Linked DNA regions of Notamacropus eugenii. The protein of the gene in region 1 interacts with the protein of each later gene in a biochemical or structural test. Links are inferred from orthologs where the notes say so. Each region holds a gene or a part of one and is shown in the gene's direction. Other genes may lie near its edges.

Evidence for each region. The genes of interacting proteins can lie anywhere in the genome.
Region 2: the proteins of DOK1 (region 1) and FGR form a complex in vitro, tested with the Homo sapiens proteins (2 studies listed by BioGRID, with this or other methods). The link is inferred for Notamacropus eugenii from reciprocal best matches to the Homo sapiens genes DOK1 and FGR.

The regions. Positions count from the first base shown.
Region 1 is NC_092877.1:46,850,571-46,858,490, forward strand, and holds the start of DOK1 (docking protein 1), read left to right. Parts: upstream 1-4,901; coding exon 4,902-4,976; intron 4,977-5,769; coding exon 5,770-6,069; intron 6,070-6,223; coding exon 6,224-6,317; intron 6,318-6,570; coding exon 6,571-6,755; intron 6,756-6,943; coding exon 6,944-7,735; 3' UTR 7,736-7,920. Other genes in the region: LOXL3 (lysyl oxidase homolog 3), read right to left, coding at 1,960-2,278. UniProt on the Homo sapiens protein: DOK proteins are enzymatically inert adaptor or scaffolding proteins. They provide a docking platform for the assembly of multimolecular signaling complexes. DOK1 appears to be a negative regulator of the insulin signaling pathway.
Region 2 is NC_092876.1:68,801,965-68,809,860, reverse strand, and holds the start of FGR (tyrosine-protein kinase Fgr), read left to right. Parts: upstream 1-4,870; coding exon 4,871-4,990; exon of another isoform or gene 4,991-5,246; intron 5,247-5,824; exon of another isoform or gene 5,825-6,668; intron 6,669-7,896. UniProt on the Homo sapiens protein: Non-receptor tyrosine-protein kinase that transmits signals from cell surface receptors devoid of kinase activity and contributes to the regulation of immune responses, including neutrophil, monocyte, macrophage and mast cell functions, cytoskeleton remodeling in response to extracellular stimuli, phagocytosis, cell adhesion and migration.

The DNA.
Region 1 (7,920 bases):
TAGAATTTGAAACTTGATGGGAGATTAGAAACCACTGAGTCCAATTATTTTGTTTTCCAGAGAGGAAAACTGAGTCCCAGAGAGAGGAAGTGACTTTCTCAAAGACACACAATGATTTAGAGGAAGAGCCAGAATGAGCACTCCCATCTGACCTGGTCCAAAGCTCAGGGCACTGGTTACCCCCTCTCCCAATCAGTCCCCTTCATGTAACATCCAGGCCTACCTTGACATGCTCTTTTTCCAGGCTAAAGTTAAAAATGAAAGGATCTCATAGTTGGGAGGAACCTTGTTCAAACTCCTTCTCAGCATAGAAATCCTTTCTATGTATAGCCTCCCTGAGATTCCTCTTCAGGACTTCTGAATGTGTGCAAACTCACTGTTTCCTGAAGAAGTCCACTGGTTTTTTTTGTTGTTTGTTTATTTAGCAGTTCAAATTGTTAGGAAAGTGTTATTTGAGGTACAATCTGTCTCCCTGTAACTTTTACTCATTGTACCGAATTCTGCCTTTTGGGGGCCAAAGCAGAATAAGTCTAATCCATCTTCTCTATAATAAATACCCACAGACATCACAGGATCTCAAGGAAAAGCAGAGGTTAAAGTGATTTGCACATGGCCATACATCCAGGAAGTGTTGGAGAGGCAAGATTCAGACCTGCGTTTTCCAGACTCCACATCCAATCCTGCCTCTCACATAGCACAGAAATGTCAAGGTAGAAGAGAACTGAGCAAAGGCTTTTGGGGTCTGGCAATGAAAAGGTCACTGGTGATGACCTTGGAGAGACTCACTAAGTAGTTGTGGGGATAGAAGTCAGATTTAAGTGGGCTGAGCAAGAGGAGGTCCAGAAGTTGTGCAATTAAGGGAAGGAGAGAGATATAGGACCATGCTTTGAGAAGAGGGGCATGATAAAGGGAGAGTTGTTTGTTTTTAGGGTTACAGGAGACCTAAGTACTGGAAAAGCAGAGGTATCATTGGGGGGTGGGGTAGGGAATGGAGGGCAGTTGAAGATATTCATGGCCAGCAGCCTCTGAAATTGGAATAGGTTATAGGATGAAATTGGGGCTCATCTAAATAATTTTCCAACAATCAGAACAGTCTAGCAACGTGATGGGCTGCCTCATGCCACAGTGAGTTTCCTGTCCACAGGAATGTTCAAGAAGCAGCAGCATAACCACTTGTTAAGGATTCTAGATTATTTCCATGTCCTGATAAGTAAGCCTTCTCTTTCCCTAGGATCATAAACCTAGAATTCAAAGAAACTTCAGAGGTCAAACCATCTACTCCAACCTTATTCTACATATAGGGAAAGTGAGGTCCAAGGAGGTTGCGCTTTGCTCATAAGAGGTGGAATCTGACTCTAGAATAATGTTCTCTAGCCTGAGTACTATGTTCCTTCAATTCCCAGTTTCTCTTTATTGTGTATGTTTCTTTTTTCCTCTAGATGTGCTTATCAATATCCTCAAGTGTGGTGCCCAGAACTGGACACAGTATACCAAGGAAGGTCTGACCAGAGCAGAGGTCAAGGGTACTAATGCCTCCTTCCTCATTCTGGGCACTCCGCCTCTATTGACGCTGCCTTCAGTCACTTGACCTTTTTTGCTTGACATATAGAACTTGCACTCAGTCCACTAAATCCCGAAGATTCTCAATTTAAGAATAGTTTATCTGTTCATGCCTGTTGGGGAAGTGCAGTTGATTTTTTGAACCATTCCTGACTTTACATATGTATTTATTGCATTTCAATATATTAGATTTGGTCCAATCATATATTTTTTTAGATTTGGACTTTGTCAATATAGTAACTCAATGATCAATCATCTCCTTCCTCCCCTGCCTCCAATACTTCTGATTTTGTATCGCCTGCAGACTATATCTTTTTCCATGTTTTTCTGAACTTCCACCCTCAGCCGGACTTGGTGCCTTTTCCCTGTTCCGTGGCCTTTCTTGGTGCTTGTTCTCACCTGTGCCTGGGCCATACTTGGCACTGTGGGCCCACCCCGTGGCTTCGGTAAAGCCCAGCTCCCGGCACAGCACATGAGCTGCTTGCAGTGTGAAGTCATCATCACAGATGGTACCCCACTCGCCAGCCCGTTGTATTTCCACACGGCCCTCATAGTGCTTCCGAGGAAAACCAGCTAGGCGGAATCGAAGCTTGCTACCAGTGCTCGATGCAGGGCTTGGGGATGGAGAGGGGGTTCCCAGGCACCAGGTACATAACATGCATAGAAGCAGTCCCCGAAGGCCCCACTGCTGGCCCCCGGCGACCTGTGTGTCAGACATGGTCTAAGAGAAATAGAAACCCAGACTTTAGTGATAGCAAGATGGTGACAGAGACAGAGTGACAATATGGTAGAGATGGAGACCTGAATTAAGAGAATGAGAGACAAAAACACCTTTGATGACACACAGAGACATAGAGACACAGTAAGGCAGAGAGACAGGTGAGGGAGGGAAGGAAGGAGATAACCTGTGAACTCAACAGATGAAGAATGACAGACTGATTAGGAGACACAGCATGAAAGTGATGTAAGAATGGTAAACAGAAGTCAATGAGATAGGTTTCTGTTGAATCTTGATTGAGGAGGAGGAATAGTGGTTAAGAAAGCAGCCCTTTATGCTCAGAGCTGGGAAGTAAACGCAAGCTCATCAGAGCATGTGCAAGAGAGGCTCAGAGAAACACAATTCACACTATGTTACACACACACACATGCACACACACACGCGCGCGCGCACACACACACACACACACACACACACACACAGAGTCCCAGGCAGGCACACATAATTTTAGCTGCATGGATCACACACAGCTGCCCACACCAGAAGTCATAAGCCTCTATGTTGATAGTGACACAGGAAACAAGGTCCTGGATGATGCCACTTTGACAGTCACACACTGAGGCTCCTTGGTTACCTGTCCCAGGGGAACACGGGGACCCAGAGGGACCAGGGTTGAGGGATGGGGCGGAGCAGTGGGAGCCACTGGGAGAGAGGGAGGGAAGGAAAAGGAGGGAGCGTGAAGGTCCAAGCGGTTACTGAGGCAACAGAGACTAGGCCAGAGAGACAGGCCCAATCCCTGGGGGGATGGGATAGGAACAGCTGACTTTGGGGTTTGGCATCTCTATCCCCTGCAAAGGAGCCTTTGGTGGGAGCAAACTGGACCCTGCCCTATCCCCCCTCCCCACCCCCACCCCAGCTCTAGCCTTCTCCTCTACTCTCCCTCCAGTCCTCTATGGAAACTTTGACTTTTCTGGGCCAGACTCCCAGCAGACTCTTGTCCTCTTTTTCCCTTTCCACCCTGCTGGCCTCCTACCCTGTCCGACCCTCAGACACGGTTCTCATCCCCTCCCTTGGCTGCCACACTCTCTGCCCCCTGCCAGGCTGGACCCCTTTCTGTCTCTCCCACTTCCCCTGCACTGGTCATCAAACGACTCTTTCACAGAACCGGGAACTGGCCGATGACAGAAAGTATAAAACAACTTCAAGTGTCGGTTATCTTCACCCCCACAAGCCCCCTATACCCTGTGTCCCCCATCCTATGTTCACCCCGATCTTTCCCGTCTCCAGCACCCTCCTGTTCGTTTCTTCATCCTTATTACCTGGGTCCCCCTATTTCCTACACCCTCCTATATCCCCTATTACTGTTACCCACACACTCCTAGTTGTCCTACACCCAACTCTCTACTCCCATTTTCCTCACATTTTCCTTGTAAATCCCATTCCCCGCTGGCCCCTGGCCCCCCATCCTCCAGTGCTCCCACTTCTTTCCCAGTGACCATCATCCATCCCTCCACCCTCCCAGCCCCCCTCATTCCTCATTCCCCTGCTTGTCTGCTCTGTTCCCCTCTCCCCAAGCGCCCGTACCTCTGCGCTGGAAGTTGCGTCCGAAGGAATGGGATGGGGGAAGCCAGTCCCGGCCTCAGAGCCTAACCCAGGGACTTCCAAGAAAGTGCCGGGCTCTGGGAGACTGGACGCCCCTCCCTCAATCCCTCCCACCGTTCCACTCTGTCTGTCCCTCCCCCTCCCTGGCCAGGCAGGCCCCAGCCTCGCCTCCTCCCCTCCGCCCCTGGCCTCTCGGCTCAATGAGGCTTTCTTCCCCCGCTGGCTGAGGCTGGAGGACACCCGGGGGCCCGTGTTGGGCGAAGCCCCTGGCTTGGAACTTGGAGAAGCCTGTGTTCATTTCTCGAACTTCACCCCTTTGCCCATCCCCCAAGGCCCCTGCCTTCTTCCACCCCTCACCCCCTGAGGTTTCGGTGGAGTGTGGGCTGGCTTGGACCCTGAACACGTGTGTGTGTGTGTGTGTGTGTGTGTGTGTGTGTGTGTGTGTGTGTGTGTGTGTGTGTGTGTGTGTGTGTGTGTCTGTCTGTCTGTCTGTCTGCACGGACTGCGTGCGCGCTGCGCCTGCGGAGCCTGACACACGCCTGGGTCTGACTTGCGGACGATGGAGGGGAAGCTCTGCGAGGCAGCGGAGCTGTCCTCGCCGTCCCGGGCCGGGAACCTGCCCCGAGGGAGCCTCCCTGCTGGGGCTCGAGCCTGCGGTGCAGAGGCGTGGTGCCCCGGGTCTTGCACCCAGTAGGCACCGCAGGAGGAGGAGGCTGAGCGTGTGCTGACTGTGCCGGGCGTGCGTGTGGGGAGGCAGGGTGGGTCTCCCGAGTCCTCCCACTTCTTTCCTTTCCGGGCGTCGGGGCCGGCCGGCCGCAGGAATGTTGGCCGCCCCGGCGGCTCCCGTCCAGTCCCCGTCTCCGGGTCCCGCAGGAAGCCCGGAGGCCGGCTCGGGCACTCGGGGCGGGGAGCTGGGGGTTCGGGATGGGGGTGATCCCTCCCCCCAGCCCCGCCCCGCCCCGCGGGCCCCGCCCCGCCCCCGCCCCGCAGCGCCAGGAAGCGTCCGGAGCCGCCTGGGGCCATGGACGGCGCCGCCATGGACGGGGCTGCCATGGAGGGACCGCTCTTCGTGCAGAGTCAGCGCTTCGGGGCCAAGGTGGCGGCAGGGGCAGGGGCGGGGGCCGCGGGGCGGCGGCCTGCGGGGAGCCCCTGGGCTGGGAGCGGGAGGGCCGCAGCGGGGCCCGAGGCTGGTCCCGGAGAAGTTTCTCCCCAAACTCCGGAGGAAGTGCCAGCCCCACCACGCTTCCTCTAGCCTCGGCGGGACGGAAATGCGCCCACCCCCACCAGGGAGCTCCGCCTCCTTTAGGAAACCCCACCTCTCCCAGGATTGGGGGGCGGCTGGGGCAGGGCTCGGATCCTCAGCTCCTGGCCTGGGGTCTTTGCGGGAGGCCTCCCTCCGAAGTTGGAGACCTGTGCCAGTCATGGCCCCTGTCATTGCCCTCAGCCCTCCCGCCCCCCCACCTTCTGTATGGGGTTCCCTTGCCTGCCCCCGTAGAGGAAGGGTGATGCAGGGCGAGCCTGCATGTTCAGCCCGTCTCGTCCCTTCATTTCTCTCTCATTTCCTGGTTTTCCCTGCGTGTTCACGTATCTCTTCACCAGGGTTTCTGCCCAAACGGGTAGGAAGATGAGGCTGCTGTGTTATACGGAGAGCCAGTTCCCCTAACTTCCCTCTCCTTCAGTATGTCCACATCCCTTTTTCCCAGGGCCTTCCCGTAGTATTTCCTTGTATCTCTTCCTCTCCGTGATCTCTGTACGCTGACCTCCACCCTCCCTCGTCCCAAAGGTAGAGCTAAGTCCCGGGCATCCCATGACCCTCCTCCGTACCTTCCCCATGCTCTCCTCTTCCCAAATGGCTTCTCAAAGCATTCCCCACGTTCTCCCCACTATAGAAGTGGAAGAAGGCCTGGGCAGCCTTGTACCCCTCCAGTGCCAGCGGAGTTGCCCGGCTTGAGTTCTTTGAGCACAAAGGGTCAGGCTCTGGAGGCGGGTGGGGAGGCTCTCGCCGCCTAGACTGCCGAGTGATTCGTTTGTCGGACTGCGTGAGTGTGGCCCCGGTGGCCTTGGACAGCCCCCCAGGACCTGGCACATCGGTCTTCCGACTGGACACTGCTCAGCGCTCCCATTTCCTGGCAGCTGAGGGCCCTGCCAGTGTTGCCTGGGTGCAAATGCTCTGCCAGACTGCCTTTCCGGTGAGAGGGTTGAATGATTGGGGATGCTGTCTAGGGGAGTCCATTTGGTGAGGGAGCAGGTTCAAGGTCGGAGTCAGTGTCTCCTCCCCCCCACTCCCCAACTTGATTGGACTCAGACCCCAGGTGGAAAACACTGATGCTTTCTCCCCTGCAGAAAGGCTGCTGGTCTCTGGCTCCTGGTGAAAGCTCTTCGGGGCCCTCTTCAATGGAGATGCAGGAGAACTCCCTGTACAGCCCCCATGGGCAAGGTAGGGGTAAAAGGAGAAAGGGATGGGGAGAGGGAGGTCCAGGGACATGAGAAGAGAGGGCATACCATGGGTCTGGAATAGGGATTCCACAGCCCTCACATGGGGCTGAAGGTCACCTGGAGGATTGGGGGGAGGGGGCGTGAAGCTCTTGTGGGTCTGGTGTCTAGGTATGATCCAGTCCCTGTTAGGACCTGAGTGTCTTTCCCCTTTTCCATCTGGGAATGTTTCAGTGTGACCCTTCCTCTCTCCCCAGGGTCTGAGTTCTGGGTGACTGTACAGAAAACAGAGGCATCTGAGCATTGTGGGCTGCAGGGACACTACCTGCTCAGGGTGGAGGCCAATGGTCTGAGTCTGCTGGTGCTGGGGGGGCAGGGTCAGAAGAAGGAGCCCCTGCTCACCTGGCCCTATACTCTTCTCCGTCGATATGGCCGGGATCGGGTAAGGGCTTGGGATGGGTCAGAGGTGCCACTATAGAAGGAAGCAGAGGATATACAGAGGGGAAGGCTAGGAGTGTGTGGTGGGTCCCCTAAGGCCCAAGAGCTGACTGCTGCTAGGATGACCTCAGGTAAGCCTCTTCTCTCCTGTGCATAAGTTTGCTCACCTCTGCCCTCTTCGTCTGCCTCCAGGCCATGTTCTCCTTCGAGGCTGGACGGAGATGCCCCTCAGGCCCTGGAACCTTCACTTTCCATACTTCACAAGGGAATGACATCTTTCAGGCTGTGGAGGCTGCCATCCAAAGGCAAAAGGTTCAAGCTGGCATTGTTTCTGGAACCGGCGCAGGCCTGGATCAGCAGTGGCCTGGCTCATCAGAGGTGGGGACAGCAGGGGCTGCCTCCCAGGGCCTTGAAGATCCCCACGCTCATGGCCCTGCCCTCTACTCAGAGCCCTTGGATGCCCTTCGGTCGCTGCCTGACTCCACTTCAGACCCCTTGTACTCAGATCCTGTGGACAGTTCAGGCCAGAGGACAGGACATGGGGCTGGAGGAGGCTCCCCCCTCTACTGGGGCTTGTTTGAACAGGTGCAGCAGCAGCTTAAAGATACAAGGCTGGGAAGAGTCAAGAAGGAGCCTATTTATGATGAGCCTGAGGGCCAGAGCCCAGCCCCGGCTCCAGGCCTCTATGACAAGCCCCAGGAGCCCAGGGATGCCTGGTGCCAGCGAGCCCGGGTTCGGGAGGAGGGCTACGAGCTCCCCTATAACCCTGCTATGGACGACTATGCTGTGCCCCCTCCAAGGAACCTCAAGCCCATTCCACCCCCCAAGCCCCAAATGCTCCCCCGGTCTAACAGCCCCAGCAGTCTCGCACTCCCAGTGTACAGCCGGGTACAGAAGGGTGCTACTGCCAAGGGCTGGGGCCAGGGCATGCCTGAAGGGGGATCTCAAAGCAGGACTGGGATGAAATCAGAAGGGCCAATGTAAAGACCTGGGTGAGGCTTGGAGGGCCTACGTGGGTGCTGGGGAGATGAGTGATCCCCCCGAGAAAGGGGAGGCCTATTTGAGGCTAAAGGGTATCAGTGAATCAAGGTCCAGACCTCAGAAAAGCAGGGTCAGGATTCCAGGGGATTAGGAAAGGACCAGACTTTGTGACCAAGTGACAGGTCTTG
Region 2 (7,896 bases), on another chromosome or scaffold:
ATTTGTGGAAAGAGTTTGGAACTAGATGTTTTCCAGAATCCCTCCTAGTTCTAACATTCTAGACCAGGTTCTCCACCCCTGTTCTAGGCCTGCTGATTCGACTTCCCTTATAATGGATCTCAGTTTCCTCATCTGTTAAATGAAAAGATCTGCCTGCGGAAGGAATCTGTGTCACACCGTCACAATCACGGATATGGTCACGGTCACTACAGGATGGGAACGGAGGCAGCTGTGATGACGCCGCAGGTGTTCTTCATGGAGATGAGGCGGGCACCAGGAGTTCTTGAGTCAGTGAAGCTCTCTACGCAGCACTCCGTGGCTCACCAGCAGCACTTACTTCATCGTTTAGCTTCCGGGCCTACATCAGTCTTCTCCTCAGGAGTGATGTGCATCGCCAGGTGCAGGACGTAGAACAGGGCCCTGGGTCCCAAGGGAAGGGCCAAGCACGAGGTGGGGACCCTGTGTGTAGGTAGACGGTGGTCTGGGTGGTCACAAATAGGGAAAGCACTGGAGCAAAAGAGTGCTCCGGGCGTGGGACTAGATCTGGGCTAGGGATGGGGCTGAAACTGGGGAAGGGTGGGAAGGGGCGAGAATCCCGGGGATGGGGACCAGGAATTAACTTGAGGTCGAGAGGAACGATGGGAAAGATGCATGGATCGGTTGGGGAGTAGGACTTCTTCCTGGGGACGGGAACTAGTCTAAAACAGAGGAGAACTGGACTGGGACTCTCCTGGGGCGGGGCTTGTCTTGCAGGTAGGGCAGATTTTGGAGCCAGGACTGGGTTTAGGGACTTGGCCAGGTGTGGAGGGCGAGGTCTGGGAGGTGCCAGAGACGGGGGTGGGGCCTATGAAGGGCGGAGGGGTGCCAGTTACTGAGCACTGGGCTGATCTGGGGTGGGGAGTGGCTAGAGGCTGGGAGCTGAGCTGATTCTGGTCATGGAGCTGTCTGGGGGTGGTGCTAGAGTCTAATGACTGGCCGCGGTCAGACCCAGAGCCTGCCCTCACCGAAGTGAGGGTCCGAGAACATCCGGTGGGCGTAGAAGGCTAGGGATCCGGGCGAGACGTCCATGTGAGACGGCTATGGGGCAGTACCGGCTTGAGGGCTATGTTCCTGTAGCCGGCCAGGAGGACGGTGGGCTTGGACCCTTTGGCAGGGCACACATGCATTCCGGGGACCCAGGAAGCTGGATATTATTGCCTACCCTTTAGTCTCTTCTCGGCCCCCCACCGTTCACAGCTCCTTGCTGACCCTTTCTTTCTCTAGTCGCACCAAATAGTTCAGAGGAAGCCACAGGTCAAACCACGGGGCCACAAAGGCTTAAGCCAGCCCTAGGTGAGGGAGCATGTTTGGAGGTCACTTTTCTCAAGTTGAAAAGAACTCTCCTAACGCCTCCAAGAACATCCTGTCCCTTCCCCCAGCCCTAGCTTGTCCTCGGCCTCTGGAAAAGAGACTGGCTTTCTCAATGCCCTCCCAAAATCTCAGACAGTTTCTAGGAAACAGGTTACAAAGCACTTTACATAGACTCATTTGAGAACGTACTTCCAAGACTTATTATAAGCCTCAAATGAAATAATACAGGTGAAGAGCTTTGCAAACCTTAAAATGCTATGGAACTGTGAGTTGTTATACACTGGACCTGAAGTCAGGAAGTCAGGAGTTCAAATCCAGCCTCAGATATCTCATGGCTATGTAACTGGTCAAATCACTAAACTTCTCTCACTTTCCTCATCTATAAAATAGGCATGATTAATAACAGTAATAACACTTTTAGGTTGTCTCATTTGATCCTCACAACAACTCTGGGAGGTAAGTGCTATTTGCTATCCCCATTTTATAAATGAAGACTGAGGCAAAGAGGGTTAAGTGACTTGCCCAGGGTCACACAGCCAGTAAGTGTTTGAGGCAGGACTTGGATTCAGGTCTTCCTGACTCTAAGTCCTGTTTATTTATCCACTGGGCCACCACCTAAAATGGGACCAGAACTAGTTGTGTGACTGTGGGCAAGTCACTGAACATCTCTAGCAACCTTGTAAGATTATACGTTATGGGAGGTATCTGGGTCTGGTTTGGTGGCAGGACACATCCTGTGTTCCATACACAAATGAAAACAAAGCTTTAGATCAAGACGGGGGAAAAACTTCATGAAGTTGTGAGTAAAATGATTTGTAAGCTACTAAGTATATACAGTTTAGGGTGTGCTAAAATTTTCACTTTGGCATCTAGATGGCCAAGTGGATGGAGCTGTTGGGCCTGGACTCAGGAAGATTCTTCTTCATGAGTTCAAATCTAGCCTCAGATACTTACTAGCTGTGACCCAGGGCAAATCATTTAGTGTTGGTTGCCTCAGTGTCCTCATCTGTAAGATGAGCGAGGAAATGGCAAACCACTCCAGCGTCTTTGCCAAGAAAGCCCCAAATGGGGTCATGATGAGTCAGTCACATCTGAAACAACAACAAAAAATTACTATGTGTCAGCCATTATGCTAAGTGCTAGGGATAGAAACAAAAAGGAAATAGTTTCTGCTCTCAAGAATCTTATTTTCTAATGGAGAAACAATATCTACATTCATACATGTAAGTAAATACATCACATATACCATGTAATTTCATAGGGAGCATTTGCTATCACAGGGTTCAGGAAAATCTTTGAGCCCCAGGTGATCGGAGATTGCGAGGAAGCTCTGCATTCTAAGAGGCAAAGATGGGAAGGGAGAACATTCTAGGCCTGTGGGAGCTGTGCAAAGGTATTGAGATGGAAGTTAGGAATGTTGTGTACAAGGAAACAGCAAGCAGGCCAGTTTGACTGCTGTGTAAAATATGTGAACGTGAGTCATGTATCAACCTGGAAAGGCAGCCTGGCATCATACTGAAAACGCCTTCAGTAAGAGGCTGTGTGGAGGTTGGATTGAAGAGGATAGAGTCCAGATATAGAGAGGCAAGTTAGGAGGCTACTTCAGTAGTTAGGACAACAGGTGATAAGAGGTGGTTCCAGGATAGGCTAGGGTGGTTATAATATAGGGGGAGAGTAGGGAGAGATGGAGATACTGAGGCTGTAGAATGGACAAGGCTTGACCATTGGTCTGTCTAGAAGAAGATGAAGACTCAAGGCTAGCTCCAAGGTGACAGACTTGAGAGACTGGAAAGATGATAATACCCTCAATAGAAATGGAGAAGTTGGGGAAATGAGTAGGGTCATATCTACTTCTCAAACCTACCCATTTCCCCAACTCCCCTATTATTGAGAGCATTACTGTCCTTCCAATCTCTCAAGTCTGGGGAGAAGATAATGAATTGTGATTGGACATGTTGAGTTTCACATGCCTACAGGTCATCCAATTGAACGTGTACAGAGATTGTTGGTGATGTGGGCCCAGAACCTGGAACAACCACAGCTGGATAGACATATCTGCAGAGAGGAGATAGTAATCCTATAAGGAGGTGGTGAGATTACCAAGACAGAGGGTATAGAGAAAAGAAGAGGGCCCCAGTCAGAGCCTGTAGCAACACGAAGTATAAGAGGTGGTGGGGTGGTGGGGATGATGATGACCATACAGCAAAGGAGGCAGAGAAGAAGCCCACACAGACAGGTGAAGGTAGACCAAAGAAAGCTGTGTCAGAAAAGTTCTGAAAGGAAAGAGTCTGGGTGTGGAGGATGGCCAACGGTGTCTAAAGTTGCAGAGAGGCTACTGTAGTCTTCCCTACCATACTGGTGACCAGAGGCCATAACCCAGTGGTCCCCTCTACCCATGAGGTCCACCTTGGAATTCACCAGCTGAGTGCTGTTCCTCAATGCTGAGGCCACTGCCCCAGGGAATCTCTGAGCCACCTAGAGCACCATGGGTGCCTCCCTCAAACCTCAGACCAGGCCACTAACACCTGCAGGAAACATAAATCCTTGTCCCACCCCTTCTGCCTTGAGGTCCTTTGTCAGCTTGTGACTACATTAAATAACTAAAGCCTCAGGCAGGGCCTCCTGGGGGGGTGGGGGAGGGGACTGGAACAATCCCCTCCCTGTCTGCCACACCCTAGCCCCATCCTTTTCTTTCATTTGTACCTTCCAACCCTCTCCCGTGGGGAAACTGGATTGGCTGAACTCCACTGGGTATAATATAATCCCCAACCTTTGCTGTCCCCTTAAGATCCTGCTGTGGTTATCTATTTTTGACCTATCTCCTCCATTGAGTGGGGAGCTCCTGGGACCAGAGGCTATTAGTCGAGGAGGCTCTCCAAAGGCAGGGACAGATGCTCCCTTCCCCCAGGGTGGATACCTGGCAAAAACCAGGTCAGGCTGACAATTCATTCCCAGTTTCAATATTTGAATATCTGTGTTGCCTAATCCCTGCACAATAAGGGACAGTGTCAGTTAGGTGACCTAGCCCACACACCGCCTCCCTGTGATTCTCTTCCTGTCTCTACCCCTATATAACTCATGTTACTACAGGTAGTAGCTGAACTGGCTCTTGAACCCAGAACCCCTGACTCCAAATCTGGAGCAATTTTGACTACTTTGTGTTGCTTGCCCCATCTGAGTTTAGAGGCAGGAGATCTGTGGGGAGTGAAAAGAGTATGGAATTTGGTGTTAGGAGACCTGAGTTTAAGGCCCAGCTCTGCCATTTTACTACCTATGTGATGTTGGGTAGGATACTTCAGCTTCCTCTCAGAATCTCATCTGGAAGAAGCCAGCTAATCCAAACTATTGTTTGTCCTTCATTTTGAAAAAGCACCAGTTACATATTGAGTGATGTCTTCACTTGCTCATGAATTGGATTTAAGTGAGGAAAAGTTGCACAAAGTCATCAGCCTCACTCTCTTCTTGAGTCATCCAAGTCCAGTGGCAGGAGCGAAGTCAGGATGATTGGTGATAGCCTGAGATGCAGTGGATGACCTTGGCATCTTCAATGTCTGACCAAGCTCTAAGTGCTCCACAGAGCTTGCTTCAGCTGCCTTCATGGTCGGTGGAACAAATTATTCTCATCTGCCCATTCCTCCAGGTAAGTCTTCATAAGCTTGGGGTAGATATCCCCTTAACTTGCTGATAGTTTTTCGGTCTGTCAGGTATCCTCATCCTGGTTTATCCTGTCTGCCAAGGGGATTTTACCAAGGTGTGACCACTGCTCATGCTACAGCTTCTTGGAGTGACAGGTGAGAATTAGGTGAGAGGTGAACATCAAGGGTGGATGAGCAGCCCTCATGCCAGAGGTGCTGGTCCTCCCTGAACACCCCATGTACAAATGCAGAAGGAAGTAACTAAAGAAAGAAGGAAACATGCATTTACTAAGTACCTATTATGTGCCAGGCACCTTACAAATATCTCATTTGATCTTCATAACAACTTGTGCTACTATTACCCCCATTTTATAGTTGGGGAAGTTGAGGCAAAGAGAGGTTATATAACTTGTCCAGGGTCAAACAGCTAATAAGTGTCTGAGGCTGGATTTGAACTTGGTCAGTCTTCCTGACTCCAGGCCCAGTGTTCTGTCCCCTCAGCTACAGAATCAAAGAATCTCAGACCTGTCAGTCCCTAGGTGGCCATCTGGTCCAACTCGTACCTGAACAACAATCTCTCCTACAATACAACTAAGGAGTAGTCATCCAGCCTTTCATTAACAACCTTGAGCGAGGGGGAACCCACCACATCCTGGGGGACTCTGATCTGCTTTGGGTTAGTTCTGTTAGGAAACTCTTTCTGACATCTACTTCTGCATCTTCCAAACTAGTTTTTTTTGGGGTGACCAAGCATAAGAGTTTGGTCATGCCAGTTTCTCTAAGATGCTTTCCTGAACTGAATAAAGATGAGATCCGAGTCTTGGGACCCCTCAGCTCACCTTCTTCCCTTGGCCTGTGTTCAGGTGCTCTTCCTCTTCCCTATGACCTTGGTAGATGGAGCCATTCCATTCTATTCTTGTCTGTCTGCACTCTGCCCAGTGACCTGGCCCTGAGGGAAAGATGAGAACTGGGGGAGGAAGGCCCACTCTTAACCCAAGCCCACTGATTAGAAATAATATACAAGTTTTCAGAGGAAGGGGGTCTGCGGTATAAATGAGAGGTCTCTCTCTCTTCTTGTTTGGGAGTTCCTTAGGGTGGGAAACACAAGTAGGCCCACCATACACATCTGAGGCTAGAGACTGTTCCAAATCAACCCCACAGAGCACAAGTGATCCATTTTCCTGGCTCCCCAGAAGCTCTGAGATGCCCAGCCCTTAGTAACTTCTTTAAAAGGATACATTCACCAGCTCCACCCTTCATCCCCGAGGGCAAGGTGTTCCAGTGAAAGTCAAAGACCTAGAGCAGGGTGGAGGATCCTACTCTGCTATAGGCCCAGTGACAAAGGAAACCAAAGGAGAAGGGGGCAGGACTTGAAAGGAGCCAACTCTCTGCATTAACCAGGAAACATACAGGGCAGTATGACCTCACCTCCCATCTCACCTGCTCCTATCTGAAGTTGAGACCTCCTGGGAAATCTGCCAACTTCTAGCCCTCTGGGTGATGTATCTGGGTGTTGTATGCCCAGAAAGCTCTAGGACAGGGTTGGTAGGGAACAGGAAAATGACCAGAGCTGTTTGAAATCTCTGCCTACCAGACAAAGCAGTTTTAAGGGTGTGGTCTAGGTCCTTTCTTTGCTTTCCTGACCTTCTTCCAGTCTATCTGTTCTGAGATCAAGGATTATGATTTTTCAGAAAATGAAAGGAATAGAGCTGAAAGGAACCTGAGAGACCTTGTTGTTGAAGTCTGATCTCCTCTACAAACATCATCCACCAGTGGTCATCTTGCATCTGTCTGTGGACTTGCAGCAATGTGGAGCTCACTACCCATCAGAACATTCCATCCCATTGTTGGCTGGCTCTGACAGCTAGGAAATTCTTTCGTATATTGATCTTTCCCCAACTAGACTTCTATGTACTCGTTTCAGCTCTGCTCACTAGGTTCTAGACTGATCTTATGGGCAAAAGCAAGTCAAGTCATTTGCTATGATTCCTGAGCTAGAGCTACTGTATCAGTAGATCCTGACTCTCCAAGGTCAGGCCATAAGACCAGATGCCTAGAGAATCAAGCCAGAGATGCTCCTCACTTATCACCTCCATTCTCAGTAAGGACCAAAACCTAACAAAGCAAAGTATGCTCTTACAAGTACCCAAGGACACAATTCTATTGGGGATGACCAACAGTCATCTAGTCCTAATTGAACATTTGCTGCATATCCAATCATGTATTTGGGACCTGTAGGAAGACAGAAGAGGGAGAAGCAATGGTTTCCCATCTTTAGGGAGTTTAGACAAGATAAAGAATCATAAATTGTCACAAATTTCTGGAACAGGCCTTAGCACCTAGAATAGTAGAGCTTAGAAGGGGCCCTAGAAAATGCTGTAGTATGTCAAAGTTGGGAAGAGCCTTAGAACATATAGACTGCTGGAGCTAAAATAGGCCTTAGCTTATGGAAAGAGTTGGGTAGTGCCCAAGAACATAGAATGTGAGAGCTGGGAAGTTCCTTAGAAGATAGAAAGTCTCTAACCTTAGAAGAATCTTTAGAACTTAGGATGTCAGAGCTGGGAGGGCCCTTAGAACAGAACATCAGAGTTTAAAGGACCCCTAGAGATCAAATCCAATTCTCTCAAGGGGAAACTGAAGCCTGGAGAAGGGAGGGGACTTGTCCAAGGTCTCAAAATAAGTTAGCAACAGAGCCAGGACCAGATCTTGTGATCCCCAGTCTGGTATTTGTACTACTCGACCTTCAGTCTCTTGGAACCAATATTAATGCAGGCAGGCAGTCCAGTGAGAGAGACACAGACAGTAAGCTTTGCTGCAGGCCTGCAGAGAGTGGAGAGGCCCTGAAACACGTGGGAAGGATTAAATAGTGAGGGGGAGGAGGACATGCGATGCAGGGAGAGCTCTCTGAGGA